Diceros bicornis minor: one gene and its partners. The main gene of each other region encodes a partner of the protein of the gene in region 2 in a complex. Links are inferred from orthologs where the notes say so. Each region holds a gene or a part of one and is shown on either strand. Other genes may lie near its edges. The genes, in order: TIMM17A, TIMM50, TIMM17B and TIMM21.

What was found.
Region 1: TIMM50 (region 2) and TIMM17A share a complex: the UniProt entries of both Homo sapiens proteins name them as parts of the TIM23 complex. The link is inferred for Diceros bicornis minor from reciprocal best matches to the Homo sapiens genes TIMM50 and TIMM17A.
Region 3: TIMM50 (region 2) and TIMM17B share a complex: the UniProt entries of both Homo sapiens proteins name them as parts of the TIM23 complex. The link is inferred for Diceros bicornis minor from reciprocal best matches to the Homo sapiens genes TIMM50 and TIMM17B.
Region 4: TIMM50 (region 2) and TIMM21 share a complex: the UniProt entries of both Homo sapiens proteins name them as parts of the TIM23 complex. The link is inferred for Diceros bicornis minor from reciprocal best matches to the Homo sapiens genes TIMM50 and TIMM21.

Annotation. Positions count from the first base shown.
Region 1 is NC_080777.1:30,122,744-30,130,600, reverse strand, and holds the start of TIMM17A (mitochondrial import inner membrane translocase subunit Tim17-A), read right to left. Parts: upstream 3,040-7,857; 5' UTR 2,987-3,039; coding exon 2,961-2,986; intron 1-2,960. UniProt on the Homo sapiens protein: Essential component of the TIM23 complex, a complex that mediates the translocation of transit peptide-containing proteins across the mitochondrial inner membrane.
Region 2 is NC_080773.1:13,471,524-13,478,728, reverse strand, and holds the start of TIMM50 (mitochondrial import inner membrane translocase subunit TIM50), read right to left. Parts: upstream 3,348-7,205; 5' UTR 3,316-3,347; coding exon 3,208-3,315; intron 3,047-3,207; exon of another isoform or gene 3,032-3,046; coding exon of another isoform or gene 3,017-3,031; intron 2,293-3,016; coding exon 2,136-2,292; intron 1,621-2,135; coding exon 1,589-1,620; intron 1,373-1,588; coding exon 1,351-1,372; intron 1-1,350. Other genes in the region: SUPT5H (transcription elongation factor SPT5), read right to left, coding at 4,896-5,039, 5,110-5,205, 6,965-7,168. UniProt on the Homo sapiens protein: Essential component of the TIM23 complex, a complex that mediates the translocation of transit peptide-containing proteins across the mitochondrial inner membrane. Has some phosphatase activity in vitro; however such activity may not be relevant in vivo.
Region 3 is NC_080781.1:42,157,931-42,165,399, forward strand, and holds the start of TIMM17B (mitochondrial import inner membrane translocase subunit Tim17-B), read right to left. Parts: upstream 3,290-7,469; 5' UTR 3,223-3,289; coding exon 3,197-3,222; intron 2,348-3,196; coding exon 2,248-2,347; intron 1,218-2,247; coding exon 1,154-1,217; intron 348-1,153; coding exon 219-347; intron 133-218; coding exon 22-132; intron 1-21. Other genes in the region: PQBP1 (polyglutamine-binding protein 1), read left to right, coding at 3,987-4,053, 5,879-5,990, 6,215-6,327, 6,524-6,808, 7,038-7,101, 7,261-7,417. UniProt on the Homo sapiens protein: Essential component of the TIM23 complex, a complex that mediates the translocation of transit peptide-containing proteins across the mitochondrial inner membrane.
Region 4 is NC_080755.1:62,882,525-62,890,567, reverse strand, and holds the start of TIMM21 (mitochondrial import inner membrane translocase subunit Tim21), read right to left. Parts: upstream 3,123-8,043; 5' UTR 2,813-3,122; coding exon 2,512-2,812; intron 1-2,511. Other genes in the region: FBXO15 (F-box only protein 15), read left to right, coding at 3,836-3,936, 6,985-7,068. UniProt on the Homo sapiens protein: Participates in the translocation of transit peptide-containing proteins across the mitochondrial inner membrane.

The DNA of each region.
Region 1 (7,857 bases), on a different chromosome or scaffold from region 2:
CAGGGTAAGCTCTCCAGCCGTAAAATTTAAAGCTGAGACCCGAAGAATGAAGATTCAATAGGTGCAGAGGAAAACAAGTTTTTAAAATTTTTAAGAAGTCTGAAATTCTTCCCAGGTTTACTGCGTCCCAGCTAGCATTCGGAACTTGTTTGTATCAGATCCATTTAACACATTGGAATACTCTACTATCCAATAATTAGAAGTTAAATTTGTAAACCCAGCTTCCAAATGTAGCACCCTAACTTACACAATACACTGAAATCTGAGTAATCCGATCAGTAAAACAGAACCACTATTCTAGGAATCTGGCTTATAAAAAACTCTGAATAGTTAACTTCATTTTCAACCCACTATAAACAAAAGAAATTTCTTTTATCTAGTCTCGAAGGTCAAATGCCATAATGAATCCATGGGCAATCCATGCTCAAGGAAACGTGTGAACTCAGCATACTGTTGCTGCTGGAGAATCTGATATAATGAGTAATTCTGACTTTGCCAAACAGAAACACAAAACCTAGGAGTCAAAACACCATACCCTTTTCAAATATAATACAAATCAGGACTTGGTACAGAATGACTGTCTCATGTAGCACATATTCCAGTTGTCAGCAAGATGCTTTGGGGCCTTGCTACCCAGGGCTTGCTTCTACGGTCCTAAAAGCAAAATCAGCAACACCTGGGAGCTTGTTAGAAATGCAGGCTCTTGGGCCCCACCCAGGACCTACTGAATCAGAGTCTGCTGTTGAACACAATCCACGGGTGACTTGGTTTTACTTTAAGAGTTTGAGAAGCAGTGCTTTGAGATTAAAAAGGATTAGGAAAATTTCTTTAAAATTATAGAAACATTAATAGGAAGTAAAGAGGAAGGACAAAGGAGAATGAATTAGTGGCTCCCTCTGAGTGGTGGGTAACATTAAAAGATCTAGCCTAACTGATCTTATAATTAGTTGGAGCTGAAATTAATGAGCATTAAAAAAAATCAGTAAAGAACAGCAGGATTCAGATTAGAGAGCAGCCAGAGTATCCCAAGAGAGGATGTCCAAAACTAAGGCAAGATGGAAATAGCTTCTGAGCAAAGTCTAGCTAAATCAAAACGTTCCAGCAGGGAAGTGATGGGCTACATAAAAGGAAGGTTGAATCCAGACTCTAAAAGAATGCGAGTGCCAGAGAAATACAGGCAACAGAGAATCAGTAACACGGTTAAAAGTTATCGTTTATCAAGTATCAACTATGTTCTAAGTGCATTACAACGCAAATAAAACATGATTTTCAAGAAAGCTAGGTTATTTTCCTATAGAATCCCTAATCTTTTAACTTTACAAAAAAAAGAGTATGTCTGTCTCCTCACCATCTCACAGATGAACAGAAGCTCAGACACAGATTAAATAACTTGATCAAGGTCATAGAGGTGATAACTAGTAGGACCAATTTAAATACAAAACCTAGTACTCCAAAGCCCCCAAATTCCTTCCACTGTACCATAGATAGACTAAGGGTGTTTGAAAAGAAAACATACTGTAAAAAGAGTATTTAGGATAAGTCCATATGATGTATTAAATGGGGCTGGAGGTACGGAAAGCAATTAAGGAAGCTACTGTAAAAGGCATAAAGGATGCCTGACAACAGGATCTGAACAGTAGAAGTTTTGAAAGAATTCAGATGCATACTGGGGGAGGGGGGTGCGGAAGAAGGAAAAAGATGCCTGTAGTCTGAGCTTGGATGACTTGAGAAAATGCTCTTACCAAACAGGGCAGTCCAGAAGACCAAGGCAGTGGACTACAAAACTAACAGGACAACTGACTATTGCTTCAGGACATACATACTAAGAGAAAGCAAAGGGGCTACCTAATGAATTAGCAGGTAAAAACATGATTCTTAGAACATCTTTAACTCAACAAAGTTAAATAACTCGCCCTCCTGACAACCTGTGTCATTCATTAGACCACATTCAACAGCAGCTGATAACAGCAGTGTACAACGTGCGGAGTCTCACGCATCTGAGCACAACCCAGGAAGGGGGAGAAGTACCCCCTTGGGAAGAGGTAATTTTAAAGAGCCAGAAGGCGCTGAAACATAGACCCTGTATCCCGTTTGAGAGGGAAAGAAAGTCACAAAGCAGGCAGCACAGCTACTGTCGGGAAGGTAATAATAAAATGTCCTGGGCCCTTTCACGACTTGAGAACACCTTGGATCCTGCTCTTACACAATAAAACAGACGATTAACCCAAATAACAAGATTTGGTTTTTCACTTATGACCCCAGAAGCCTTAAACTCAGGCAACCTGAGACTTCTGATAGCAATCACACCGTTTTATAACTATTTTATGTGCCTGATGTATTCATGCTTCTATCCCTTGAACCTAACCAAGCGCTGAGGACAGAGCCCTCCCTCCATAGATGCTGAATGTACGAATTTCTGTTCCTAGCTTTCCGGAGGACACATGCTACTCTATTTTCCCGATAATGTTTGCCCAGCCCCCTCCCCCAGGGAGAATTCCAAGCACCGAAAAGAGGCTCCTGCCTACAGGCGCTCACCTAGGCCATTTGGGTAAATCTACGTTCCTGCGATCTAGGATGCTCGGCCCTGCGGACACATCTGACCATATAAACGACGCCTCGAGAGGGGCGCCCCTCGGAAACCCAGCTCCCCTGCTCAACCAGAACAGGGCGGGAGGCGCAGGGAGCGCCCAAGATCACTCGGCGGGCAGAGGGGACGAGCGCTGACCCCGCAGCAGGTCGCTGGGCCCCGGGTGGGGGGCAGGCCCGCGGTCCCTCCAACCCAGCCCTGGACCTCCTCAACGCCCCGCCCCCCGCAAGGTCACCAGCGCTGGTGGCGGGGCGGCCTCACGCGGCCTGGGGCGGAGAAACCTGCGGCGGAGCCGGGCCTGCCCCTCGGGGACGGACAGGGCAGCGCGGGACCGTGGGCAGGGGTGGAGCGGATAGGCCCAGGGCAGACTCACCACGGCTCCCGCGCGTACTCCTCCATCTTGGCTCCGGCGGCGCGAGGGGTGCCGGGAAAACCGGGCGACCGTGTGCTGGTCACGGCGGAAGTGATCCCGAGAGGCGGGCGTTGACATCTACGGGGATTGGCTGCTCGCTGCCTCCCGCAGCCAATGGGAGCCGGACTCCGGCGGGCAGGGGGCGGGGCCACGGGGCGGATAGGCCCCGCCCAGGTCCTCGCAGGGGATGGGTCTGGCTGTGTGAGCCGGGCGTGCGAGCCCACGGGGGCAGGGTCTGCGTTGATATACATGTGGTCGCGTTCCTCTAGGGCTCGCCCGGCTTCGTGAGGACAGTTCATGATTTGTGAAGCTCCCACATGTAGCTGCTTAGGGCAAACAGTGTCCTCCTCCTTCATAGTCGCAGGGCTTGGAATGTAGTAGATGGTCACTAAATGTTTGTGACCAGGAACCACCAGGGCTGTCTGGAGTGCCCTGCCGATTTGGGAAGAGCGAGAACACGGCCTCTCCGGGGCTCCCTCCAACGATCAGCAGAAGATGTGAGGGGTGTTTAGCCCAGAGAAGAGGAGACCAAAATGATGGGGACCCACTGGCCCATTTTAGCCTACAGTCAAGCAAACCTGTCATGTGACGGCTGTTAAAGGAGCTCTTCTCCATTGTGCACTTTTGAGATTGACTTTAAAGTATGTTTGTATTTATTTTATGGAAAAGTTAGTGTAATAAATAATAGGAAGCTGCAGGGAAGAGAGAGGTTCCCTCCAAAATCTTGGAAATAAGGTGAGCAGATAACTGAACCCTTGGTAGAACTGAAGATTGTCAGTGAAATGTATCTTGTGTGTGAGAAGAACAGTTCAAACTAGTCGTCTGATTTGGATATGTAAGCTCGAGGAGTCCTTTTTGGAATGTGTGACTGTAATTAGGAACGCTTCAATCTAATTAATTGTACAGGCTGAGGAGAGAATGTAGGAGATGGGCAACATGGAACCCAGAAAGAGAAACAAACGCAGAGCAAGAATTTGATGTTTAGTCCGCACTCCAGATCTAGTGGTATAAACATTTCAGTAACTGGAGGATTGCATTCTCATGGGGCGAGGATATTTCTTTCTGTTCTCACCAGGATTCAGAGAAATATCCCATAGCTCTAGCCACCTCCCTTTGCCCTTATTCCATATTCATTATGCAATCTTCTGGTTGTTATTGGTTTCTGAATAGATTTTCCTTTAGGAGAAAACACCCTGGCCTGTGCTCGTAATTGTCCTTGTCCACTTGGTAGTTATATTGGTTTATGCATTTGCCTCTTGTGAGCTCGGTTCTTTTGAATCAAATCGATCACTAGGAATGGTGATAATTCTGAGCTTACAAAGCTGGAGGCCAGCTCTAGGCTGTGCTCAGCCAGCTCACTTCTTTCCACAGTTCCTGTCCTAAAGGAGCTTACTGTTCCGGGAGGCACTGCTCAGGGCGCCAGCGAGCTTTCTTAGACTTCTCTCCCTCTGCTCTCTTGTGACAGCAACAGAGGACAGGGTGTAACAGGACATTTTTGGCTAGGCAAGGCCTAGGACTTAGGCCTTTGTTGGCTAGAGGAGGAAGATGTCACCCTTGCCTCAAAAATATCCATTTCCATCTTGGAAGAAAAGAGTTTGGTACTCTAATCTCTTCCTAGTGAGTCTTAAAGGAGCCTGAGGAACTGCATGGCCCTCCCTGAAGGAAGGTCAATGATATGAAGGAATGATAGAAGAAAGGCGTAGGGGTCCTTGAGGGAAAACTTAGCATAAAGGAAGGGGAGTGTGAGCTGGTAGTCCCACACACTGGGGTCTGTTTTGGTGAAAGTCAGTGTTCTGGGCCCAGTGTGAGGGGCTGCTGCTGAAACCCCTGTGAGCCAGGTCCTCTGGGGATTGCTTTGGGGAAAATAGGTCCAGTGTGAACGGAAAGAGCTGTGGCTCCCAGGGCCTGTTGTGTGATTTCCCCAGCCAAGCCGGTGAAGGCAGGAAGAGATGCCCTGGTGCCTTGGGAACCCCAGGGTGGATGAGCTCATGAGGTGCTGAGTCTGGCAGTTACTCTGGTGCCTTTTTCCCCACCCTACAGTAATTTCCCACCCTTGCCATCCCCCGCCCCACAATTAGCTTTCATTCATCTTCCACTCTTGGACAGGTAGACTAGTTCCTGTTTTCTTGGGGGAGGGGCCACTGATAGAGGCTAGGATTGGAGAAAGATGGACATCTGATAGATGTTAAGGGTGCACAGGTGATGCTGGACGGAGAGAGTAACTGGAGGGATTCAGAACCCCAAGTCCATGAGAAGACCCTTACTGTGTGCTCAGGATTGTCCTTAGTTTTAAGATTGAAGTGGAAAAAATACAAAGAATAGTTACATGGTTTCTACCCTCAGGGTCTTCAAAATGTACTTGGGGAGAAAGAATGTGATCTTGAGAAATAATTGTTGGGTCAAAATTCTAAAATGTCAACATGTGTGCCATAAGACATGATGAATACAGGAGGCGGTCAGAGAGGAGAGAACCTTGGGAGCTAGAATGTGCTCGCAAAACTTTAGTGATCAGCCGGCAGTTAAGCTGTGGCCTGAAGAATGGCGGGATGTTGGAAGGTGGAGAGGAGAGAGTAAGGCATTCATGGTAGAGGGGGCGACAGCACTGAAGGCATGAAGGCAAGGGTGACGTGGTGCTGTCACTGGATGGGTTGCTGACCCCACTGGGAGAGTAGAAAAGACTAGAAGCAGAGAGAATGAGGCTGTGTCAAGTGATGAAGTTCTAGGGCAGTGGAAGTGGAGAGTGTCAGAAGCAAGGCTGAAGGAGTAAGCTGTGTGCTAGGAGATGTCCTCCGAGACCTGTCATGTTTCTACACATCAGCGTTAGGAGCTGACGTCTTTCACATGGTGACTTCCTCTGGGGCAGCTTTATTTACATTACAGGACAGTAAAGGAGAAATGGCTCCCGTCCCTCCCTGGAGTATATTTGTTTTCCTTCCAGGATAATAAAGATATATTAAAGTCTTATCTACTTTTTTCCAGTAGCTGAGGGAGTTCATTCTAGAAGGAGACAGTCTTTTCAGTAGACAGTGAGGTCATAGGGTGAAGAGCAGGCTTTAAATAGCTTCTGTGGGGAGTGTGCAAGTGAGTGAACCACAGATGAGCACAAGAACCTGGAATCCTCCTTTCTTCCCAGACCCGACCCACGGAGGAAGGGGCTGGATGTTCTCAGAGCCTGCCCCTCCTGACACGCAGTGCTTAGCACCTTAGAGGCTAGCTTGGTTGAGCTCCACTGAGCCAGAGGCCTTGGGGGCCTAAAGAGCCCATCCATCAGGAGGTCACAGGCCACGTATGTGGCTCCTTGCCCCCTGGTGCCACCTGTTCCGGTCACCAAGAAACTCAGATGGGCATGGACAGTAAGGCTCGTTTCACAGCCAGCTCCTGGGTTTGGGGTTCCATCTGTGACTGGGCCTACTTGGTGGGCAGAAGGGTGTTGCCTGGCCAGGGTGGGAGTTGGGGGGGAGGCAATCTCTTGTCTCTTTCTCCCCTCTTTTCCCTCCCCCTGCTGTCCCTTCAGGGAGACATTAGTCTGGCCTGTGCTCTGTCTCAGAGCTCTCCTCTGCCCATTTCTGCCCATCCCAGCAGTGCGGGGCCAAGCCAGTGGCTCACTTCCAGAGCCAAGTCTGCTGCTCTGGAAAAACTTCCAGCCTCCCCAGAAGAAGAGAACCAGTGTGATTATTTATTGAGTAGTAACACATAGATCCTTACAACATGTCTGATGCTGTTATGCACTTCACATGCTCTGTCTTATTATCGTCTTCTTCTCTTATTCACTATGTTTGGTAACTCTGTAGCCCTGTGCAGTAGGTACCTTTTTCTTTAGGTAGGTGCTGGTATGATCCCCATCATCTATGTCCTAAGACTCAGAGAGGTTAAATAACTTACCCAAGGTCACACATCTCAGATTTGAGCCTATGTCATTTGACTCCAGAGCCGGTGGCCTTATCTGCTACGCCATACCACCACCCTATATTCCTAAAGATGTGACCTTCCTGGGGTCATTCAGCCAGTTGAGAACCACCCTAAGCGTTAGTGAAGTTGGTCCTGGTTCCCTATATCCCCACCTCACGTATGTTGGCTGGAGCCTGGGGTCTCTTTTCCCTCCTTACTCTGCCCATCCCTCTAACACAACATTTCTCTGGGGAATAGGCCACACCAGAATCCCGTGATACTCAGGATGAATCTGTTTCAGGTGGAAGTGGATTCTGAGCTTGGAGAACGGTTGCCCCTGCAGAGTGGGTGGGGCAGAGGTCCCGCACAGCAGGGGCTGGAGGAGGCTGTGCTCTGGGCTCTGGGTTGCCAAATCCTTCAGCCCCAGCTGTGATGCCTCTCTGGGGAAGAATTTCAGAGTCTGCGGGCAGTCCCTGGGGCTCTAGGGAGCCGAAGGCTTCAGACCGGCTCGTCACAAGAGCCAGCTGTTTGGAATTGTGGGACCTGAGTCAAAGCAGACACAGGGACTTACATGCAGAAACGTTTGGTTAGGAGACCACAAGTCCTGCCCTGTAAGTTTGGAAGCTGTGGATTTGTTTTTTGAGTGTGCTCCTAGAGCAGAGACTCCTGGACCCAGAAGAGAAGGCTGTGGGAACCAGAGATGCAGGGCTGACCCGTTGCTGAAGGGGGTCTTTACATTCAGGTCCTGACTCCTCTTCGGGAGAAGTGAACATTTTTGGCAAAAAGCCTGAGAAAGCACGAGAAAGCAGAGTCCTTGGAGCCTGGGAAGAGAGCTGACTAGGGGACTGGAGGTTGGTGGAGGTGGCTCCAGACTCAGGGACCCCAGGAGACGATGCCTGTTCTAGAAAGCCCCTCTGGGCAAGTGTGAGAGAGAAGAGGCTGACCTGAGGTGGGGCGGGGGCAGGAATAG
Region 2 (7,205 bases):
TTGTTTTTTTTTTTTAATTGATGTTTTAATGGTTTTTAATATTGTGAAATTTTGGGTTGTGTACCTACCCAGTTTTAACCTGAATACTTATATCCACACACCACCCCAGGTATAAAATAGAATATTTATACACCTTCCTACTTAAAACCTACATACATATAAATCTGCAGACGTTATGACAGTATATTTAGTCCATTTTGAACCCAGGCTTCTAGATCTGCCCGCTTTAAGCCACGAAGCTAAGTCTAGTTAAACCTCAATGAACATATACACACATATGTATACTTTAAACCAGTGGTTCTCAACTAGGAGCAATTTTGCCCCCCCCTTTTCCTGGGAAATTTGGCGATGTCTGGAGACATTTTTGATTGTCACAATATGGGCATCTAGTGGGTAGAGGGCCAGGATGCTGCTAAACATCCTACAATGCATAGGACACTCCCCAACAACAAAGAACTATCTGATCCAAAGAATCAATACGGCCAAAGTTGAAAAATCCTGCTTTAAATGAATATCCTGAATCCAGTTTAAAATAAGAATCTTACATGACTGCCTACTTCAATACAGTATTTTTAGTCCAGTTAAACTACTATCTATGGGCCTGTCTTTTCCAAACCAAAATATGGAAACCACTTAAGTTAATAAATACACACATTTTAAACCCGCATGTTTACCTGCCCAATTCAAATCAGTATACTGATTTGTTTATACCAGTATGATTCTACATCTGCCCAGTTAAAACAGCATACTTACCCACCTGCCTTGTTTAGAACAATCAATGGATTAACGTGCTGGTTTGTAAACTTCCCCAGCACAAACAGGTGGCTTTCTGGACTTACTAATTTTATTTTTCTCCTGGAAAGGGCCAGGTGTGATAGAACTGACAACTACTCTCTACTATCCAATTTGTCAGAAACTCCTCAAAAGCTGGTTACCCAGCAGGGGAAGGGAGGAAGGAGGCATTGTTTTGGACATGAGGAGCCGGATGGGGTATGGGGCTTGGCGGGGAGAAAGGAGGCTGTCATAAAGAGAAGGGGGTTAGGGACCGCAGATGCTCAGATCTAAGGCACAGGAAGCCATGTGTCTGGCAACAGAGAGCCCCGCATCCCCAAGCACTCCCACCCCGGATTCCCCTCCCCCATCTGCCCCTGACCATCTGCTCCTGGGCTGAGGGGACAGGGAAGGGGACTGGTGCTTTGTAATGCCCCTCCCCCCAAAGCCATCCAGCTGCTGACTCCCCCACCCCACAACAGGAGGAGGAGCCAGGGGTACCAGATGGGGAGGGCAACACTCCTACAAATGGCAGAGTAGGGAGGGTCGGGGACCCCAGAATCTGTGCTGTTTACTCACCATTGTCGAATTCATCGGGAATCTGGGAGGTAGAGAGAAAAATGGAGGGTTTGGGATGGCAGAGAAAGAATCCCATCACACCCAGAAAAGAAATCTCCAGAGCCTTGGGAAAAGTAGGCAAAGGTCCCTGGGAGGAAGAGGCTCACCCCAGACCAGAAATGAGCCTGCACAGACCACAGGGGAGGGGACCCACAGGATGGGACCCCTGGCAAGGCCTCTGGGTCTCTTTCCCCCTCACCTTGGCACCAGTTTCATCCACAGAGTTGTTTCCTGCAAGGGAGACAGGGATGAATGAGAGGCATTGGGGCCTGGTCTCCTGGATCTTGAGGGAGAAAAGAGGGCAGGGGGCTGGACTCCTGGGTCTGAGGAAAGAGGGCTAGAGGCATGGTCTACTAAGATCAAGAGAGGAGGGGGCTGGTAGCCAGGATCCCTGGGTCTCCTGGGTCTCTGAGGGATGAAGGGACCAGGGGGAGGGTTGCAGTTTTGGGTGCTGAAGGAAGAGTAGCTTAGGAAGCCGGTCCAGGCCTATCCTCCCCCGTCTTCCTCTCTTCCCACTGACTCCCTATAGCCTAGTGCAGGAACCACCAGAAAGAGTAGAACCTTGAACAGAGTGGGTAAAAGGGAGACCTTCCCCACTTCCAAGGTAGATGTTCTAGTTGGCTGCCCTGTTGAGGGAGCAGCCAGGGAATGAAGACGGGTGAGCCCTGAGCGGAAAGAGAAAGAGATTCTGCAGTAGAAAAAAGGGCCAACAGAACAAGACTGGGGGACAGGGATATGTCCCTCACCAAAGATATAGACGACGCTCACGGTTCCACCAGCACCGAGCAGCCCAGCAAGCCAGAGGGCAACTTTTTTGGCATAGCTGGCACCCTCCGTGCCCCGCTGCTGCTGTGGCCCCTGGGCCTGGGCCTTTGTGCTCGCACGGATCCCGATCTCTGCAGCCTGTGATTGAGAGAACGTAGGTTGGCCAAGAGAGGAGAGAGAGAAGGTCAGAGTGGTTCGGGCACCCTGGCTGAAGAACCAAGCTCAAGAGCCACGAAGTGGACACCCATATGGCCTCCAGGTGATGTGTCCCTGGAAGGGCAGCCAAGAGACTGGGTCTCTCAGAAGGGTCAAGAACTGGACTGTCCGGCGCCAGGATCCCAGTGATTCGAGCGCTGACAGGCCGGATGCCCAGGATCCTGGAGGCAAAGGATTGGAGGGCCTGGAGCCCGGAAAAGCAGGGCAGGGAGATGAGATCGGGAGACTGGCTGGACACTGGGATGCCTGGAGCAAGGCAACAGAGGCCACATAAGGGGACAGGACGAGGGGTTAAAGCCTCCGCACGCCTGGGGCTCACAGTAGCAAGATAGAGGAGAAGGGATGGGAGCGGGGGCGGAGGGGCAATCGCTTCTCTGGGGCTTGGGGAAGTACAGCAAGGAAGTGATGGCCCTGGAGGTCAGAATGGCTGGATCTCTATCAACATGGAGGCAGATCGAATCAGAACCTCGAACCTCTACTTCACCACCACTAAGGCGGGGAAACACCTCCAAAGCCAGGCTGGCACCCCAGCGTCCCGGGCCCCTCCCCTTCAAGTATTACCCGAGCGGTCACTGAGATGGAACAGGTGACCTCCTACCCAGGCGCCCACGTGGGGTCCAGAGGAGGTGAGGTCCAGAGGACGCACCTGAGCCCCCAGCATCTAGCCAGGGAGGACAAGCGTTGCCTACTCCCGGAGGCAGGAAAGCACCCCAAAACGCGGGCGGCGTTCCATTCAGCACGCTGAAGTGCTGCGTTCCAGAACCCCCGGGCAGCAGCGGCCCGCTCGAAACTCCAGAGAGGGGCCCCCGCACCCGGGGGCCACCCCGGCCCGCTCACCTGGCCCGAAGCCCGGGGAGGTGGCGTCGCCAGCCTAGCGCACAGCCCCCGCGCGCCGGGCCGGAGCCCGCTCCGCAAGCGCAGGAGCAGCGCCGCCGAGGCCGCCATCTTGCGCTGACGCCACGCGGCCCCGCCCACTCGCTCCCCTCCCCGGGGCTGCGGCCAATGGGGGCGCAGGGGCGGGCCGGGTGGACGGGAGCCCGAGAGAGACAAAGGGCTGCGGGCGGACCGCCGCGGACGCGCACGCCTCCCGGTGCCCCCGGCGCGGGAACTGAGTCAGCCGGCACCACGCCCCCTCCGACCGCCGGGCGCTCCACTGCTCCTGCTACGGGACCGGGCGGCTACCACGTGCTCAGCGGGAAAGCGGAAGCCGTAAGGAAGGATCCCAGTGGCTGCTCGATTTGTCCTCAAGAGCGAAAGCCGCGAGTCAGGTAGCTCGGCCCGCCCGAGGGGGCGGCCCGGGAGGCGGGCTGAAAGGCAGCCTCACCCCCCTCTCCTCACGTGGGGCCGAGTCTGTCAGTACCCGGGCCTCCCGCAAGTTTCCTATAAAGGGTCTGGGAAGCCAAGCTCTTCATGGGGCCAAAGGAACCGCCGCCGCGCCTGGCGGGGTTGGGTCATGGAGAGAGGGGTCCATGAGTTAGAGGTTACGGGAGCCATGACGATGACCCTCAAACTATTTTGAGAAGGAAAAGTCTGATACTATTTATGTAAACTTTAAAAACATGTATACCGACCATAGAACACTTGAGGATAAATACTAACGTAGTAAAAGTACAAAGTTGGGCAAGAGACACGGGAATTCAGGGTTGTGGTGACCCCGCGGGGAGTGGACTGGGGGAGCTGCGGAGGCGGGTCCTGTCTGGTCCATACCGTTTCCTAAGCTGGGCGGTGGGACACGGGTGTTCTGGTATATCTTTCTGAGCATCTGAAATATTTTATAGCACATTTTACATTACCTTTGTAAAAAGACATGTAAATATCAAAAGAGGAAGGTGAAGGAGGATCAGGGGGTAGGCTGCTCCCAGCCCCCATGCCATCAGACCAGCTACAGCAATTCTGGTGTCACTGCTGTGTGGCCTCAAGAGGAAGGATCATCAAAGGCTGTATCCTGCTCCATAGGAGGAACTTAGGCTCCCTGGGGGACACTGACTGTGATTTTCACCTCACTAACTCAAGCCTGAGGAAGATGTAACTTCATCGATCACATGCAGGCTCTGGCAGCCTCTGTTCTAATCTTTCTCGAGTCTTCTCATGCATTCCTCTCAAGAGCCCTCTGGGGGAGGCACTATCATTTTCTAGCGGGGAAACTGAGGCTTAGGTAGGACCCAGTTATTTGCCCAAGACCACAAAGCAAGGGAGTGGGGTCTGCAAATGACCTCACTTACAAACTGGACCACACACACACAGGACTTTTGACCAAACAGCTTTTTATTGAAAGACTATAACACAAAAGCAAGCTGGGGAAGGGGGGGTACAAGGTGGGGACCCTTCCCCAGACTCTACTCTCATCCCCATGAACATCAGGGAGGGAGACAGGAACCCAGAAAGGAAAATAAAAGAAATCCTGAACAATCAGGCTAGCCCTACGCCAGGCCCCAGATGCTGAGTCAGAGCCAAAGGCCAGGGAAGGAAGGAGGGACACTCTCCATCTGTCAGATGTCTGCCCAAGTCCACGTGACCTGCCTGCCTCAGGCCTCCAGGAGCTTCCCCAGGAAGCGGAGGTTGAGGATCTTGAGCTGCTCGTCAAGGTCCATGCGGACGATGCCATCCTCGCCATCGATGCTCAGCAGGACACCTGTGGCTTCCCGGTCCTCGCCCAGGATCACCTTCACCTGGTGGGGGGCACGGGGTCAGGGTCCACATCAGCAGCCCAGTGCCCCCACACCCCCTGCCTCCCCTTACCTTGTTGTTCTTGGTGGGGGTGATGGGCTCCAGGTGCTCACTGGAGATGCTCACCACCTTCTCGCTGTCCTTCAGGTACACGGAGCACATGCCTCCCTGGGAGTGAGGACAACCTGGTGAGCCTGGCCTGCTCCCCACACAGGACTCATGTCCAAACTCAGGGGACACGGGCTCAGGGCTCATCCGGAGAAGTCACCTTCCCAAGGTGACACAGGGGCGGGAAAGGCAAGGCTAGGCCTGGTTCCAAGGCCTGGAGTCAGTGGTGTGTGGGGGCGGGATGACCAGATAAGCAAAGAAAGCACCCGAATGAAGCAATTTAGGCCAAAAGGGAGACTGCTTCTCAGGCACTGGGCTCTGTGTCCCAAACTGGCCTCAGCTCCTTCCCCACACTTGCTCTTTCTCCTGGGCCTCCGTCTCAGGGGTGGCCCCACGGTCCCCAGGCCCCAGCCAGAGCTCTGGACCTTGTCTTGGTCAACTCCTTCACCGACAAACTCCAGCTCCAAGGCCTGTCCATTCAGCCTTGTGAGGGTCTCTCCTACCTCCCCCCTCTTCTCTTCCCCATGGCCCTGTATGCAGCCTGACTTCCCCCTGGGCTCCCAGCCCCCAGTCTCAGCACCCATAATCCATCCTTGATAGGGCAACATAATGAATGAATCCCAAACCATAGATCTGATCCACTACTCCCCTGCTTAGATTCCTCTATGACCCCCAGTCCCTTCAGGACACGGTCCGAGTTCCCCAGGCTGGCATGTGACCTGGCCCGGCCACTTCTTTGGCCTCAGCACTCACCTTCCTCCTGGCTCTTTATGTTCTAGCCACAATGAACATACTTCACTCCCTAAATGTCCCAGGCTTTCCCTCACCTCCAGGCCTTTGCACAACTCCTCTTTCTGAAACACACTTAAGCCCTTCCCCAGCCATTTCTCTTGGCTTACTCCTAATTCATTCTTCGGGTCTCGGCACAGATGTCTCCTTCTCCAGGAAGCCCTCCCTGCTCCCCTCCAAAGTTGGGTAAGGTGCCTCCTCTAGGTTCACAGAGCTCCCCTTGCCCTCTGGGCTTCCCGCATCCCAGCTCTGGCCACTCGGGCTGTCGCTGTCTTGCAACATGTCTGTCTCTCCCACTGGAATGTGAGATCTGTGAGGGCAGGGCCTAGAGCTGTCTTGGTTTCTGGTGGTTGTTTAATTAATTTAATTAATATTTACCAGAGGACCAACAAGGTGCTAGTCCCTCATCTAGGAACTGGGGCTACTTCGAAATGAAATATAGGCCTGGCAATCAAAGAATCACACCAGGGTAAACATTAAGCTTTTAGGCTGCAGGTAGATAACAAGAAAAAGCATCACACAGACCCATAAGAGACAGACCTGAGAGAGCCTAGGTGCTTCCCTGGATTAGGAGGAGTGAAGTAGACAAAGAATGGAAGCAAGAGATCTCTAGACACAGGAAAGTGACGAGCAAAGGCCCTGCGGCTGGAGGGAACTCAGTGACGATGAAGACTGGAGAAGCCAGCAGTGCTGGAGCAGGGAGAGCCCAGGGTGGGTGCCGGTGCTAAGCTGTAGCCCGGCACAGGGGAGCACCCAGTTCATGTTTCTGATCTCAGAGGTGTATGTCCAAAAGGAACCACGCTCCTGGGTGCTGGTCACTGCTCCAAGCTGCTGGGGCTGCAGCCGTGAGCACAACAGGCAGGAATCCCACCTTGTGGAGCCTGCATGCCCAACCTTTCCAGGTTTTCCAGCTGTAAACGGGTACTGGAAGATGTGGTGAGACAGTTAGAAGAAAAAAACCCAGCAAGCACAGATTGGGGGCCCCAAAAGAGAGGACGCCCGACCACCCACCAGGCCGGGCCCCGCTTACCGTGACACTGCGGATGACGCCTGTCTGCCCCACCACCTGCGTGTCCAGGTAGGTGTCCCGCACCTTCACCTGGATGTCAGTGGTTACCCAGTCGCTGGAGTTCTGCTCAATGCCTGAGCCGGGTGTGTGCGGGTTGTAGCCCCCAGGGGAGGGGGCCCCGGGTGTCATCGGACTGTAGCCAACAGGGCTCGGGCTGGGGCTGGCCTGTAGGGGCAAGGGGGAAGGTGTCATTGGGAATAGG
Region 3 (7,469 bases), on a different chromosome or scaffold from region 2:
TCAGCTTCGCTAGGTACTCACCATTGCGGAACTGCTGGGCAGTGTAGCGAGTGAGGAGGATGCCAACACCCTCGATAAGGGCCAAGAGAATGCCCCCCATCATGGCCGAGCCCACCATGGCCAATGGGCCACCTGGAGGAGAGAGAAGGCAGGGAGAGAGAGGTGAGGGCAGGCAGAACAGGGTGGAAGGGGCTGGGGCCAGGGACTGGGGCACTTACTGCGGGCAGCCAGCACAGCCCCGGTCAATGCTCCACTGGTGATGGAGTTCCAGGGATCTTCCTTGCCCCGCAGCCGTACTAGGCCGCAGTCGATGGTGGAGAACAGGCCCCCCCACACCGCGAAGCTACCTGCAGGGGGACCAAGGCCTAATTAGTGTTCCTGGGGAATCCTGAGAATCCACGGCTCAGGGTCTGGGGACTTCCAAGGCCTGAGTGCTCTGGCAAAGAATGGGGAGCAAAACCCAGACACAAAGGCAGAGAGCAAAGGAGGTGGGGATAGTCCCCATCTGTCCCTGTGGGAGCTCCTTCTTCAAGCTGTCTATAATCGCCATCAACACTCCCTTCCCCTTCAGAGCGAGTTACAAGTGTTCAAAAGAGGTCTATCTTCTATATGGCTTTGAACAAAGCAACTCTGATCTTCACAACTACCACAAAGAGTTGAAATTCTGATCTTGGTTTCATGGAGAAGGAAGAGGTTAGGAAAGCCCGTTAACAATATGATAGCTAAAATGTTTACTGAGGCCTTATTGTGTGCCAGGGCCTGATCTAGGCACTGCATGCTATTTGACTTCTGAAATTTCAAATTAGTTAATATTATTAAAGTGCTCAGCAGAACAACCGGCACTTAGTAAGTACCATGTAAATTACATACATTACAAAACGACTGAGGTAGTTATTATCATCATCCCCGTGTTCCAGATGAGGTTCAGTGAAGTTAAGCCACTAGCCCAAGGTCACACAGCAAGGAAGAGCCAGGGCCTGGATTTAAACCCCAGAACTCACTCATATTAAATTGTTGGGAAACATCACTCCCCCAGGAAGTCCTAGGCAGAGTTGAGGCTAGAATATGGACCCCCAACTTGCAGTCTAGACCCAAAGGAGGAACCACCCCCAACTTTGCCATCACATCTCCTATGTCTCCCCAAGCCTCTCACCTCCAATCTGGGGGGCTCGGATCCTCACAGCGTTGACACTACCTCTCAATCGGTGCCGAACTCCCTGGGAGAAAGTGAGGAGGAGGGGAGTCAGGGCAGGGTTAAAGCGACTGGCAGACAAGGTTTCTAGCTTTTAACAGAGGGAAGGGGGTGGGAGACCTGTTAGGGGTATCAAGGGTAGAGACATGGAGAAGAGGCCAAGAACAAGGGGACTGGGGAGCACCTCACCATAGGTGTTCTCAGAGCTGGGTTGGGAAGCTCTCATTCATTCATTCAATGATTACTCAGCTCCTATGTGCCAGGCACCATGCTGTCCACAGGGATACAGCAGTGAATAAGGCAGACCTGGCCCCTGCCGTCTCAGAGCTCACATCATAGTGGCAGAGACAGATCTTGGGCAAGGGTACAGATAAACAATAGCTTCAGACAGCACTATGCACCCTAGAAGAAATAGAATGAAGAGGTATGGTAGTGGCTGAGGGGTCAGGAAAGACCTCTTTAAGGAGGGGGCATTTGTGCCGAGACCTTGAGGATGAGAGGGAGAAACTCAGGCAAAGATCCAGGAAAGAGAGTTCCAGGAGATGAGGGGAGGGACAGGGCTAGATGTATCAGTTGCAGAGACCCTGGCAAATGGATGGCATTTAAAGCCATGACATTTGATGAGATCTCCCAGGAGGAAGGGTATCAGAGAAAGAGACAGAATTGATTATGTTAAATTAAAAGCATTTTCTCAACTTTAAGGCTGCCCTCCTTCTGCCAATTAATCTCCTGTCACTTCCCTCTATCCAGGTTTCTGACCCAGAATCTGCCTCTAGGTAAAATCTTTGCACACACATTTAGGATTTAGCGATGACCATTTTGACAGCACAAAATTTCCACAGAGGAGCTCCAATTGGGTGCGGGGTGAGGGACAGAGGCCATGTTTGCAGTTCTCCCAAAACCCCTCATCCTGGAGCCAAGCCTGGCACATAGCAGGCGATCAGGAACCAGAATGAATAAGTGCATGTGACTGGCAGCTCCAAGCACTTTTCAGAGCAGTATCCCAAGCGGACAGGGCAGGATCCTGGCACCACCCAGGGAAGGCCAGGACTCACGACAGGGGCGTTGCGGAAGCCCTTGATGGCCTGGAAGACTCCGCCGCCGATGACACCCATAGTGAAGGCTCCACCGCAATCATCCACAATTCGCCATGGGCTGCAAGCGGGAAGGGGAGATGGGGTTAATGTGTGCCCTCCCCCATGCCATGTCACATGGACTTTCTAACTGGAAGAAACCAAGTCACCTGAAAGGGAAGTAGCACTTCAGATAATGAGATTATTTTTCCCCTCATTTAAGCAAGAAATAGTGCAAAACGGGAAAAATATTAGTCTTTGCCCAGTCCTACCCTCCCCTTCGCAGTCAACCAAGGAATCAGCTTTACTACTATCAAAGATTAAATGAATTGATACAAGCAAAGAGTTGGCACGTTTAAACAAGCGCTATAGAAGTGTTGACTAGCTAGTATTATTATTAAAGCAGTACAGGGTCACAGCCCCTTCTCCGACAACGAGCCCATCCAATCAAGCCCCGCCCTTTCCCCCTTTTTTAACCGCGCGCGAATGGGAAAAACCGAGAGCCGACCGTGGGGAGGATCCAGCACCCCCTCCTTGCCCAGAATAGGCTCATCCAGGCCCCGCCCCCATTAACTACAGCGACCTGGGAAAAACCACGCGTGGTAACCCTGGGGATTTCCGCTCAACACACCACCCCCCAGCTGGAATGGATTCGACCAGCGTGTCTTTTCGTTAACAAAGAGGGGCTGGGAGATACGTAGTCAGGGGAAACGTGGGGTGGCTCGTCCTTCACTTCCAGGTATACAGTTGGGGCCCCTCTTAACGGAGCCCGAGTGGGAGGAATCAAGTGGAGGGGAGCAAAGGAGACAGATTTTAAACGTCTCCCGAGTCTGGGATGTGGCGCTGTGTGGCCGGTGCCTCCCCCGCCCGCCTCCCACAGCTGGCCGTGGCACCACAGCAACAGTCCCGATGCCTGTGCCCATCGCCGTACCAAGGCTCCCGAGCGTACTCCTCCATGGCGCCGGCGTCCTGCCGCGCAGTCTGGCTAAACCCCGGCCGGGCCACGCCCCCACTGTAAACGCACACAGGCGCCCGAGCTGTCCAACTCTTCCAGGGCGACGATTGGGTCGCTTGGCCATACGTCAGGCCAAGGGCGCGCTCTCATTGGTCACCCCGGCTTGCGTCGTCTGTTCACCGCAGCCTGAGCGTCATCCAGTTACTCCAAGCCTCGGGGAGAGAGGACCTCGTTCTGTGCTTTGGGAGAAGAGAGTTGTGGGGTCCTGGTGATCAAGGGGCGACAAGAGAGAGGCGGCCGGTCTGACAGCCTTCCACTACCCGCGTGACTGTATTGGTAACGTCGGAGTGGGCGCATTTTTTGGAGCGGGAGGAAGTACTGCATTCTCCTCCCCCTTCTCAGCGCTTTGGTTCCTCCTACCCGGCAGTCTTTGGGGGACGTTGGGTGAACCCATTTCTGGGGCGCGGGGGAGCTGTGCTGGCCCCTTCAGCTATGGGTGGAGCCTGGGCCTGGGATAGGAACCCGGTCATGGAGCACCCGGCCTGGAGGGGAGGGTTGGTGAGAGTTTTGGTGATATTGCCATCTATCTCTTCCGCCTTCTCCCGCTTAGGTTCCGTCCACCCAGCTACTGTTGCAGGTGGGTAGGTGGGGGTCCAGATGAGTACATGCTCGGGGGAGGCGTTTGGTTACGGGCTCCAGATTTGAGTCCTCATCTGAGCTGGTTTTTAGTCTGTCCATCTGTCCCTAGGTCTGTCTGCTACCCGCTATGCCGCTACCCGTTGCGCTGCAGACCCGCTTGGCCAAGAGAGGCATCCTCAAACATCTGGAGCCCGGTGAGAGCTAAGAGCAGATGGGCCTACCATGTGCCAGGCTTGAGAGGCACTTTGTTGTTGAGACTGCCACTTGATAACTAGCATGGGCCTACTGTGCACCAGGCAGTGGGGTGGCAGGCATTTCACTGTTAAAAATGGGGATTCCTGACACCCATTCCTACCATGTGCCAGGCATGGGGGAGATAGATATTTCATCCTTAATACTGACAGCTGATGACTATTTTGGGCCTACTGTATGCCAGGTTCAATCCATCAATCAATCTATGGAAGTGGTTACAAAGTATCTAATAGTGAAGATAGCTGACATTTGCAGTCTCCTGTGCGTGCGCCAAGTACAGTGGCAGGATGCTAATACTTTGTTCTTTACCATACTCATAACATTATTTCAGACCTCCCATGGTGTCAGGCACTATGCTGGTGATACATACCTTATTGTTCACATTAATAGCTGACATGTATTTTGGGTCTACTAAGTGCCTGGCATACACATTATGGTTAACAGTATAAAATAACGATAGGATCTATCATTTAGGCCTACTGTGCTGCTGCTGCTAATATTTATACCTTGTCAATAATAGTAAAAGCTGGCATCTATTTTGAGCTATAGTATGCCGGGCACTGGAAAATACATCTTATTTTCACCGTATTGATAAGTGACATCTATTATAAGCCTACTGTGTGCCAGGCATAGATCTTGTGGTTAATAATACTGATAATGATCATTGATATTTATTTTAAGCCTATTGAGTACTAGGCCCTGTGCTGAGAGTATATATATCTTATTAAAAATACTGATGATTATAGCTGATATCTATTTTGGGCCTACTGTGTGACAGGCACTATGCTGTTGCTGACATATACAGGCATACTTCATTTTATTGTGCTTCGCAGATACTGTGTTTTTTACAAGACCCTCCACCAGCAAAAAGATTACGACTCGCTGAAGGCTGAAGAATGGTTAGCATTTTTTAGCAATAAGTACTTTTAATTAAGGTATATACATTGTTTTTTAGACATAATGCTATTGCACACTTAATAGACTACAGTATAGTGTAAACATAACTCTTAGGAGCAGTGGGAAACCAAAAAATCCGTGTGACTCACTTTATCGCAATATTCACTTTCTTGCGGTGATCTGGAACCAGACCTGCAGTCTCTCTGAGGTATGCCTGTGCATTTCATTGTTAGTTATTTCTGCAGCTGAAATCTGTGATAGGCCTACTGAAGGTCAGCTACTGGGCTGACAATATACACCCTTTTAATTTTACTGATATGAACTGACAACTGCTGCATGCTTACTATGTGTCAGGAACTGAATAGATTCAGAGCAGTGTTTGGATAAATCCCTTGGTATCCAAACTCTTGCTACTCAATATACAGGCGTCAGAAACCCCATATTTGCCAAGTTTGGGAGCTGAATAGATTTGGACATATTTTCAGATAAACCCCTTGCTGTTCAAACTCATTTGATCCAAACAGATTTGGATAGTGTGGTGTCACATACTACCTGAACTCAGGAACTGAATAAATATGGATACATTTGTTGGTGAATCCCTATCTAAACTCTGAAACCAGATAGCTTTGGGTAATAGCTTTGGGTAACATATCTTATGTGAACCCAGAAACAGAACAGATTTAAGTACAGTTTTTGGTAAATCCCGATATCCAGATAAGTGGCTTTGGAATGTGAGCAGTATCTGCCAGGGCCGGTGAGACCTGGCACACACACGTGGTCTGTGTGAATGCTAGTGTCTCTCCAGGCTCTAACTGTAGGATGAGAATCCCCCTGCTCCTCACTGCTCTCCTCCTCCCCCCGCCATGCCAGAACCAGAGGAAGAGATCATTGCCGAGGACTATGACGATGACCCTGTGGACTATGAGGCCACCCGGTTGGAGGGCCTGCCACCAAGCTGGTACAAGGTGTTCGACCCTTCCTGGTGAGCCTGGGGACCTGGCCAGGGGGGAGGGAACTGACTTCTGACTTCATCCTTCCTGTGCTGTCCCTGACCTCGGGTTAAGAGATCTGGGGGTCCTCCCCACGGGGTCCTGACATGGGCCAGGTAGAGGCGGAGACTGGGGAGACAAGAGTTGAGGCTACAAGGAGGTAACATCTGTGCTGACATTCCTTCTCTATCCCTCCCTCCCTCCCACTGCCCCACAGCGGGCTCCCTTACTACTGGAATGTGGACACAGACCTCGTGTCCTGGCTCTCCCCACATGACCCCAACTCGGTCGTTACCAAATCTGCCAAGAAGCTCAGGAGCAGTAATGCAGGTGAGTTGGCAGATCCAAGGGTGCCTCAAGGGCTTCTAGTAGTTCTCAGAGAGGGATCAGGTAAATGATAGTGAATCCAGGAGCATCAGGTGCGATAGGCAGGCCCAGCCCCAGGCAAGGGAGGTGGTCAAACACAGAGGCTGCTGGATCCTGAGATGGGAGAAGGAAGGTCACTTCAAAGCTTTCCTGTCCCCAGATGCTGAGGAGAAGTTAGACCGGAGCCATGAGAAATCAGACCGCGGTCACGAGAAGTCAGACCGGGGCCACGAGAAGTCAGACCGGGGCCACGAGAAGTCAGACCGGGGCCATGAGAAGTCTGACAGAGACCGAGAGCGTGGCTATGACAAGGTGGACAGAGAGAGAGAACGGGACAGGGATCGGGACCGGGACCGTGGGTATGACAAGGCAGACCGAGAAGAGGGCAAAGAACGGCGCCACCATCGCCGAGAGGAGCTGGCTCCCTACCCCAAGAGCAAGAAGGGTAAGCTGACAGGGCCAGGACTGCAGTGAGGCAAGTGGGGCGCCAGGGATGCACAATGTAAGGAAGCCCTCACTTCCCTTCATGCGAGTGCCTGAACCTGGGGCCTGGGAGAAGGTGCTGTGGGCCGTGGCAGCCGCGGGCTCCATTTCTTCCTGGGATGGGGAAACTCACTGATGAGAGGCTCCTTGTGCCTCCACTGAAGACCTCACTCTGCCACCTACTTCCACAGTGGCAAGCCGGAAGGATGAAGAGTTAGACCCCATGGACCCCAGCTCGTACTCAGATGCGCCCCGGTAAGTGACAACGCCTCATGAGCACTTCTCTTTGCTCGTGACTCATGGTACCAGTGACCATTCCTTTCTTCCTCACTATGTCCTTTCCCTGTTCGTCAGTGTTGTGGGGGGTGCCTACCACATCCCACATTCCCACCCCCAATCCTCTGTCACCTCCAGGGGCACGTGGTCAACAGGACTCCCCAAGCGGAACGAGGCCAAGACGGGTGCAGATACAACAGCAGCTGGGCCCCTCTTCCAGCAGCGTCCCTACCCGTCCCCAGGAGCTGTGCTCAGGGCCAATGCCGAGGCCTCCCGAACCAAGCAGCAGGACTGAACCCCATCCACACTGCCCCAGGGTTTTTAATAAAAGCTTTTCAGTGGATCAT
Region 4 (8,043 bases), on a different chromosome or scaffold from region 2:
CCAATGTATAACTGGAATCGATAGGCTCCGCAACTGCCAGCAACAACCGCTCCTTTAGTTCCTTTAAGGGTGGGTTAAAAGCTACCATAATGGGGAAATCGAATGGAAGTCTCTGAAATTGCCCCCCACTGACTCAGACAGTAAATCAAAAACAGTATCACGTTGAAGGGGGAATGGCAGAATAGCGCTATTCTTAAAGACCTAAAGACAGAGGGGTGGTGGTCCCCATCATACTCCCATGTACTACACCAGTCTGCCCCTTACAAAAACCAGACAGAAACTGGAGGATGATAGTGGTCCACTGCAAATTCCACCAAGTAGCAGCCCCACTACAGATGCAATGCCAGATATGATAACTTTACAGAGCACACTAACAAAGCCTCATGGTACTGACCATTGATCTGGAGAATGTATTCTTTTCCTTCTCTGTCGAGAGGGAGCAGCAGGAGCAGTTTGTAGTGACATAAAACTGACAATAACTGTGTATATGTAGGGTCTTGCCCAGGATTTGTTTGCCCTGACATAACATAGTTTTAATGGACCCAGACCTTCTGGATCTGAGCTGTCCAATACAGTAGCTACACACCACACATGGCTATTTGACCTTAATTTTAAAATTAACTTTAAGTGAACTTTAAATAAAAACTCAGTTCCTCAGTCACACTAGCAACATTTCTAGTGCTCAGTAGCCACAGGACCTTATAGGGACAGCACATATATAACATTTCCAACACTGCAGAAAGTTTTACTTAGACAATGCTGTTCTGGACATTCTGCAAAACATCACATTTATCACATTTGTCCACTCTATTTATGCCATCGTGTTAGTCAGAGGCAAAAGTAACAAGTGACAGGTATGTTCTATGTTGGGACACTTGGTAAGACGTATGTGCTTCAAGTGCAGGGGATGAGGCCAACAAAGATCCACGGCTTGCCAACCACATCAGCAAAACTCTTAGGGATATGCTGTATGGGGCATGCTGGGACACCCACCCCAAGTAAAAGACAAACTATTGCATCCTCTATGTCCTACCACGATGTGTGATGGGCCTCTTTGGACTCTCGGGGCAGCATATTCCACATTGGGGGATACTGTTCCCACCCCTTCACTAAGTCACCAGGAAAGCTGTCACCTTTTATGGGGTCCAGATCAGGGCAGGGCTCTGCAGCAGGCCCCAAGTGCAGTGTAAGCAGTGCTGTTGCTGGAGCAGATGACCTGACACATGCTGTCTGACACTTCTGTGCCTGCGACCTCTGCATACAGGCTGTTCATCTGTGCTGAACTTTTAATCACCCCTCACAACCCTGCTCAGAGTATTACGAATCAATGAGTATATTTTTGACATATTCAGCAGACTGCAAAACAACTGGTAGGATACAGTTAAATTTTTTTGTTAAAACCATTAAAAAAGTACATGCACTGAAATGACATAAACCAAAATATTAACAACAGTCATCTTTGTGTGGTATAATCATGGATGTCTGAGTTACTTTTTTTGCTTCCTTTTTATTTTTTCTACAAATTACTTGTAAAATGAAGAATTAATAAGTTAAATTTAAAATGACTTACCTTATCCGTAAGAACTTATCTGACTTTACCTGACAGCACTACATTTCACCTTTCCTATTTTATATGTTCCTTCTATTACTGTACATTTCATAGGAAGGTAAGTGATGTTTTGAACATCTTTATAATATAGAAACTCTAACTCAGTATCTGGACACAACAGCAGTCACTCAAGAGACGTGTTTATTGAGTTAAACTACATGAGTTAATTTCTATGGATTATGACTCAATAATCTTTCTTTCCTATTTATTCTATCCAATTACTCTTTATCTTATGCTCCCTAGTACTTTCTTTGCAGCACAATTAATCTTTTCTCACTGTTTGTTTCACTCTGTATCTACTTTCTTCTTAATTTAGTGGTAAGCTAACTGAGTATAGGATTCTTAGGCATACCCATTAACATCCCTTCCAGTGCTAAGGATAGGGAAAATGGAAGCTCAAGAAATACTCGTGAATGGCTGACCTCAAGAGCACTGGCCTGGATGTTAGAAAGCTGAGATAGGAAAATTTGCCTTTAATTTTCAGTTGTGTGAAAGTGAGGCAGTGTGCCTCCTACATAAAAGGGACAGCGCTCATGTGTCTGAAAGAGTGAATGCGAGATTCAAAGAAGACGAAATAACATCTGGGAAATCGACTTGTCTATTACAAAGTATTAAACAACGGTTAAGTTTCATATAGCTCTCTCCATACCAGAACTAATACAATTTGAGAAAAATTTTCTAGCCATAATTCAACAAAGTTATATTGAAATCAACTTTCAAATTTGAATTCTGTGAAGAAAATTGTAGGCCTATATCTCTGATTCGAAACTGTTTAACGGTTTTACCGTTTACTTTGTGTGAACTGTTTCTCCATCTTTAGCACTGAACTTGTGTAAAGGGGCACTGGCAGCTCTTGTCACGTTTGTTGAAAGACTGATCATTACTGGAGAACTCCTTTTTACCTTTCTGTGACGTTGAGATGGCGGGTTCCCCTCTCTGACTTCTGTGCACAGACACTTGTTTGCTGCTGTCCTCCTTTGCTCTCTGGGGGCTCTGTCCCTGCGTCCAGATAGTTTTCTGGGTGACTCCAAGAATACAGCTAGGTCGCACCGTTTTCGTCCGCTCTTGCAGCCCCCACCTCAAACCCGGCTCAGTCTTCAAACATGCTTTGTTAAGCACCAAGTGTGGCAACAACAATCGCTTCCCCGAGGACCTGTGCAGCTTCTCCGTAAACTGTACAGCTCGTAGAAAAGTACAAATCATGTTCACAGAAAACCGCTCCGCTCAGGGAAGATGCTAACTACGAAAAGCTTCACTGTCCGCTACACACCCGGCAGACGCGTACTCAAGTCTACACATTCACACTGGAAATTCTGCAGGGCGTGTTCGACAAATGTGAGCTCCAGCAGCGTATATTAACACGAAAAGTCTCCCGAAAGAGGCTGACGTCCACCTTCCCTTCCCCTCGGGCCTCTCTTTACTTGAATTATATTGCTCTGATTACCCTCTACGCCGACATTCACGCTCTCCCCGCCATGCCTTTGCAAAGTAACCTGGGAAACCCCTCGTAGTACTGGGAATAGCAGTTCGAGGATCTCACTCCTCACTGAGTGGCCGCAGCGGGGAAGGCATAAGGACTACATCTCCCACAGCGCACCTCGGGAGAGGTGCCGAGCCCTCGCTGGGCCTTTAGGCCTCTCCCAACCTCCCCTGCGCGGGCCCCTTGCGCATGCGCTGCCCGTACGTGGCGCGGTAGGAAGGCGGAGCCGCGTTCGTGGGGGATATGTGGCATAGGCGGTGGTAGTTCAAGAACTTGCAAAAATCAAATTAGCAACTACAAACTGCGTGTTCTTTTGACCCTCTAGAGAGGACTGTGTAAACTGGGAAATTTTCGGTCTCATTGTGGCTTTGACGTTCCTTAGTGGCAAACGAGGTAGCCTTTGCATTTCAGTTTCTTCCCCACGAAACCAGACAGGGAGTGTGAACTACCAGAGAGCCGGCAAGTGGGGAAGGAGGAGGACGCCACAATACCCACGCGGTGTCTTAAACTGCGGGCGGCCTACTTGCCGCGCGGCGTCGAACTTGGGAGGAAGCCTGCCCCCAGAAGTTTCTAGAACCGCTCTTGAAGCGGTAGAAAGCCGTGTCATCTTCGGCCCCTCACCCCGGCTCCGCTTCGCTTCTGCGCACGCGCGTCTCGGAGCGCGCCAGCGTCGATTGGGCGTGGCGCGGCCCGGCGCGCTCCTCCCTCCTGCCGTTGCGCTTCCGGGGCGTCGCCGCCAGGTCTCCATGGCGACCGGACGCGGCAGGCTCTTGCAGCTGCACTGGAGCGGCCTCCAGGCGTCGGGTCTGCAGCTCGGCGCCGTGGGCTGGGCCCCCGGACGCGCCAGGTTCGGGTGATGGTTGGGGGGTCGCGCCCAGGGATCCCCGCGAGGGACCCGTTCAGTCCGCCCTCCTCCCCCGCCCCTTTCCCTTTATTTTCGTTCGTCCCGCTCCGGCGCGGAGCGCGGCTCTCTTTAGTGCGGGAAAGGTCTCTTCAGCCTGGCACGTGGGGTTACCCCGACTCATGATACAAGGAGTGGCGTCCCCAGGAAATCCTCCTTCTCCTCCGTTGGCTCAGTGAACAGGCGCTGTGGGGCGCTGGGAACGTGCTAAGCCCCTGACCCTGGGGCGGCGCCCCCGGGCACCCGCGGGTGAATGCGCGCCACCTGTGAAGGCAGGGACGGTCACCGCTCTCCGCCTGCGGGCGCCGAGCGGGCAGCCCTCCAGAGCGCGCCCCCGAAGTTGCTTCCCTGCTCTGGGACCAGGAATCACCTTTCGTCCTTTTTGTGACTTTATTATAAGTTAGAGAAGTAGAATCAGCTCGTCAAAACCTTATCGATTTTCTCTCCCGCCCACGAAGCGTGAAGGGAGGACACACCAGCCCTAAGCTGATACCTCTAGAAGGCAGGTTGGTCTGGGAGCGTCTCCTGTGGCAGCAGTTTCTGCATCTCCGACGTCAAGGAGAAGTCTATGTGTTTAAGCAAACCCTGGAGGGATGCCTTCTAGATAGCTGCCCCTTGGTGCTCAACTCTTACTCCTGTTCTGCACATCTTCCTGTCTTAAGTGCCAGGGCGTGTGGTGATCTTGTTCTGGTGTGTAGAGACGTCTCTCCTCTGTTTCTCTTGGGGCGCCCTGGAACTGAAGGGTAGTCCTCTTCTGCAGCGAGAGAAGGCAACTTTGAGGAGTGAGATGGGGAAGGGGCCAGGAGCAGGAGGATGCAGCTGCTTTCCAAAAGGATCTTCAGCTTACCTCAAAGGGGAATGGCTCATTTCCCAAAGTGAAAGATGTAGTTCATCAGAAGGATCAACGTGCTATGGTTCCTTATTAAATCCCTCTCGTTTTCTCGTGGGTTGTTGCTAGTTCTGTACCTATGATTCCAGTTAGTTTACTAGGTGGAGGAGTAATGCTAAGGACAGTTTGCATTCTCGAGGATTTTCCTTTTGCTTATAAGTCTTCTTGGTTTATAGATAGAAAAAGTCGTGCATATTATCCCTTCTAATAAACTAAATGTTTAAGCATGAAAAAGGAGTATGTTACGTACCACTTCAACTACTTAAATTATTTTTTGTTTTCCTGAAACTCCAGAACTATGTCCGGTGTTCATCCAAGGGTCATTTACTCCACTTACTCTGGTTTCAGAAGCAGGGCCCTGACCCTTCCTGTTATGATAATGGTTGGTTCTTGAGAATAGCTGTAATGCTAGATATACCACAAGCCTTGTGACAAGTAAAATGGTGACAGTGCCTGCAAAATTTCTATTATGTAGCTGAGAAAGACTGGAATTTAAATAGGAAGCTTGAACTTTAAGTCAATTTGCCACTATTACTAAAATTAGCCTTTAGTGCTCTGTTAGTGGGAAGCAGAATGATTTTTATGATGAGTCTTTTATTACTTTATAAGTTGAGAGAACTTCCTGGTGAAATGATGTAATTAGAGTGCCTATCATTGTGTGCCTGGCATGGGAGCCTGCACGTCATCCTCTGATTTGGTGATGCATACATTCTTTTTGGTAAAGAAAAGTCAGTTGCTAAGAAAGATTGATTATGTCTAAGTAGGTGGTTATTTTTAATTCTCAATTCAGAAACACTAGATTTTAATAAGGAATCAGTGGTTCCCTTTTTAACACATAATGTGAATATGTAGAAATATCGTAAACTGTAAGAAATATAGCAGAAGGCATATCAAGTTGGCTTAATTTCTACTTGGTCTAATTTCTTTGATTTGCCAGATATTAAAAATCAGGCCCAGAGAGTAGATTTTTAAAATATTGAACTTATTCAAAGCTAAAAAGTGTGTTTAAACTGAATGTCATCTTACTAATCATGTCAGCTAAATGTACACTTAACTGTGTAGACATACAGATCTACATGAGGACATGCATGTAACTTACCTATTTGTGAATTGTGTGACCCTTAAAAACATGCAGTGTGTTTATTTTATGGAGAAATGGAGATTTGTTTTCAATTGTACCAAAAGCTATACTGATAAGATACATAATATAATAATACGGTAGAAAGAGCTTTTGAAGGAGTGTCAGGAGATGAAGGTCTCTGGGACTCTCAGTCTCTAGCTTGAGACCTTAAACAAGTCACTGTAATTGCCTCATTAGAGCCTTAGCCTTCTGATCTATGAAATGAGGCACTCATGAGATCTGTTTTCATTATGGGAAAACAAAACAACAACAAATAGGCTGCACTTCTCAAATGGATAGGTGCCAGTGGGCAGGGGATGCATGGGGCATCCTCCCCGACATGTAAAATTAATGCAATGCCTTTGGGGAAAAACGTTAAATAATTTAACTGGTAAGTAATATAATACATTTTTATAATAAGACAAACACAGATAAGTTATCCAGTGGAATGCAACATCTGCATTAATTTTTTAAGATCAAATAAGAGACTTCAAAGAAGTTTAGAGCTTTCTGTAGACTGTGCCCCAGATTTTGAGGGACCTGGTGCCCCAGAATGCTGCGAATGTCTTTGAGGACCACAGCTTGAGCCTAAAGGATTGTGCTATGAAACTGTGATTCCAAACCTTGTGTATGGGATTCTGAGTTTTGAAATTAAAACAGAAAACCCCCACAATTTATTACATATTCAATATATTAAGAAATATTAGAAAATATTTGTTCTGTCCCTTCGATCTTTTAGCCCTCATGTAAAAACAACCACCAACAAAAAAACCTTGTAACCTTGTAATCCTGTGAATCAGGTGTATTATCAGTTAATACCTTGTTGACTTGCTTCTGGACCTCTTTTCTTTGTATGTATGTGCTTACTTTTTCTCTTAAGAGAGAAATACAAAAATAAGATTATGTAGCATATACTGATATAACCTGCTTTTTCAGTTATGTTATTAATTTAGCAGCTATTTATTGAATGCTTTCTGCACACCAGGCATTTTGTGGATGCTGAAGAATCAGCAGTGACCAAAACTCACGCAAAAGACCTGCCAATATGGATCTCGTGTCCCAAAGATAGGTAAGAAGGTAGATAAGTGAAATGCGTAGTGTTGGATGGTGATATGTGCTAAGGAAAAAAAATAGGGAAGGGGCATAAAGTGTGTGTGTGTAGAGTGTGGATTGGAGTTTTAGAGTGCATAGCCAAAGAAGTTCTCAGTGAGAGGGTGACGTTTGCGTGAATACCTGAAGGAGGTAAGGGAGCAAGCCATGCAGACATCTGGAAGACATCGTGAACTTATTTCTCTCTCAGACGCTTTCGCCTGTGTTGAAACTGTCCATTTTAATTGGCTGAACATTGTTAACTGTATGGAGGCCATGCAGTTGAACCAAACTGTATACCGTTTCTAGTATCTTTTGCAGTGCAGACGCCTTTGAGTTGGATGTTCTTGAGTGAGGTCTTTGTGCTCACTTTCTTGCCTTGGGATATATTTCTAGAAGTGAAATTCCTGGCTTAAAAAAAATATGTCTCTTAAAGATCTTGATATACACTACCAGTTGGCTTTCCATACCGTTGGCACCAATTTATGCTGCTAGCTGAGTGAATGAGAAGCCTGTTGCAGCATAGCCAGCACCTGTCCTTATCGTTTATTTGGTCTTTGCCAATTTGCTAGATTGAAACTGATTGATACATCATATTAATTTACTTATCTTCAGTTCCCTTGGAAAGGCCTAGGGTAATAGTTTTTATTTTTGGGGCATCTTTTGATTGAGGAAATATGTAATGACAAAAAGCTCTTATGAGTTTACTAATGCTTTTTTAAACAAATCTATATTTGGTTAACCACAGCAGTATTCATTTAAGTTAAAAAAGCAATAGTATCTATTATTGAAAGACATTTCTCAGTTTTCAAAGTGTGTGTATGGACTCCCAGACTTCTTGTCATGAACCTTTGCAGAGGTCTAAGGGTCACTAGTTGAGAACTCTGAGTAGATATTATTATTATTTGGTGGAGGAGTAACACAAATTCCTTTTACTTAAAGCTTAAGCATTAGA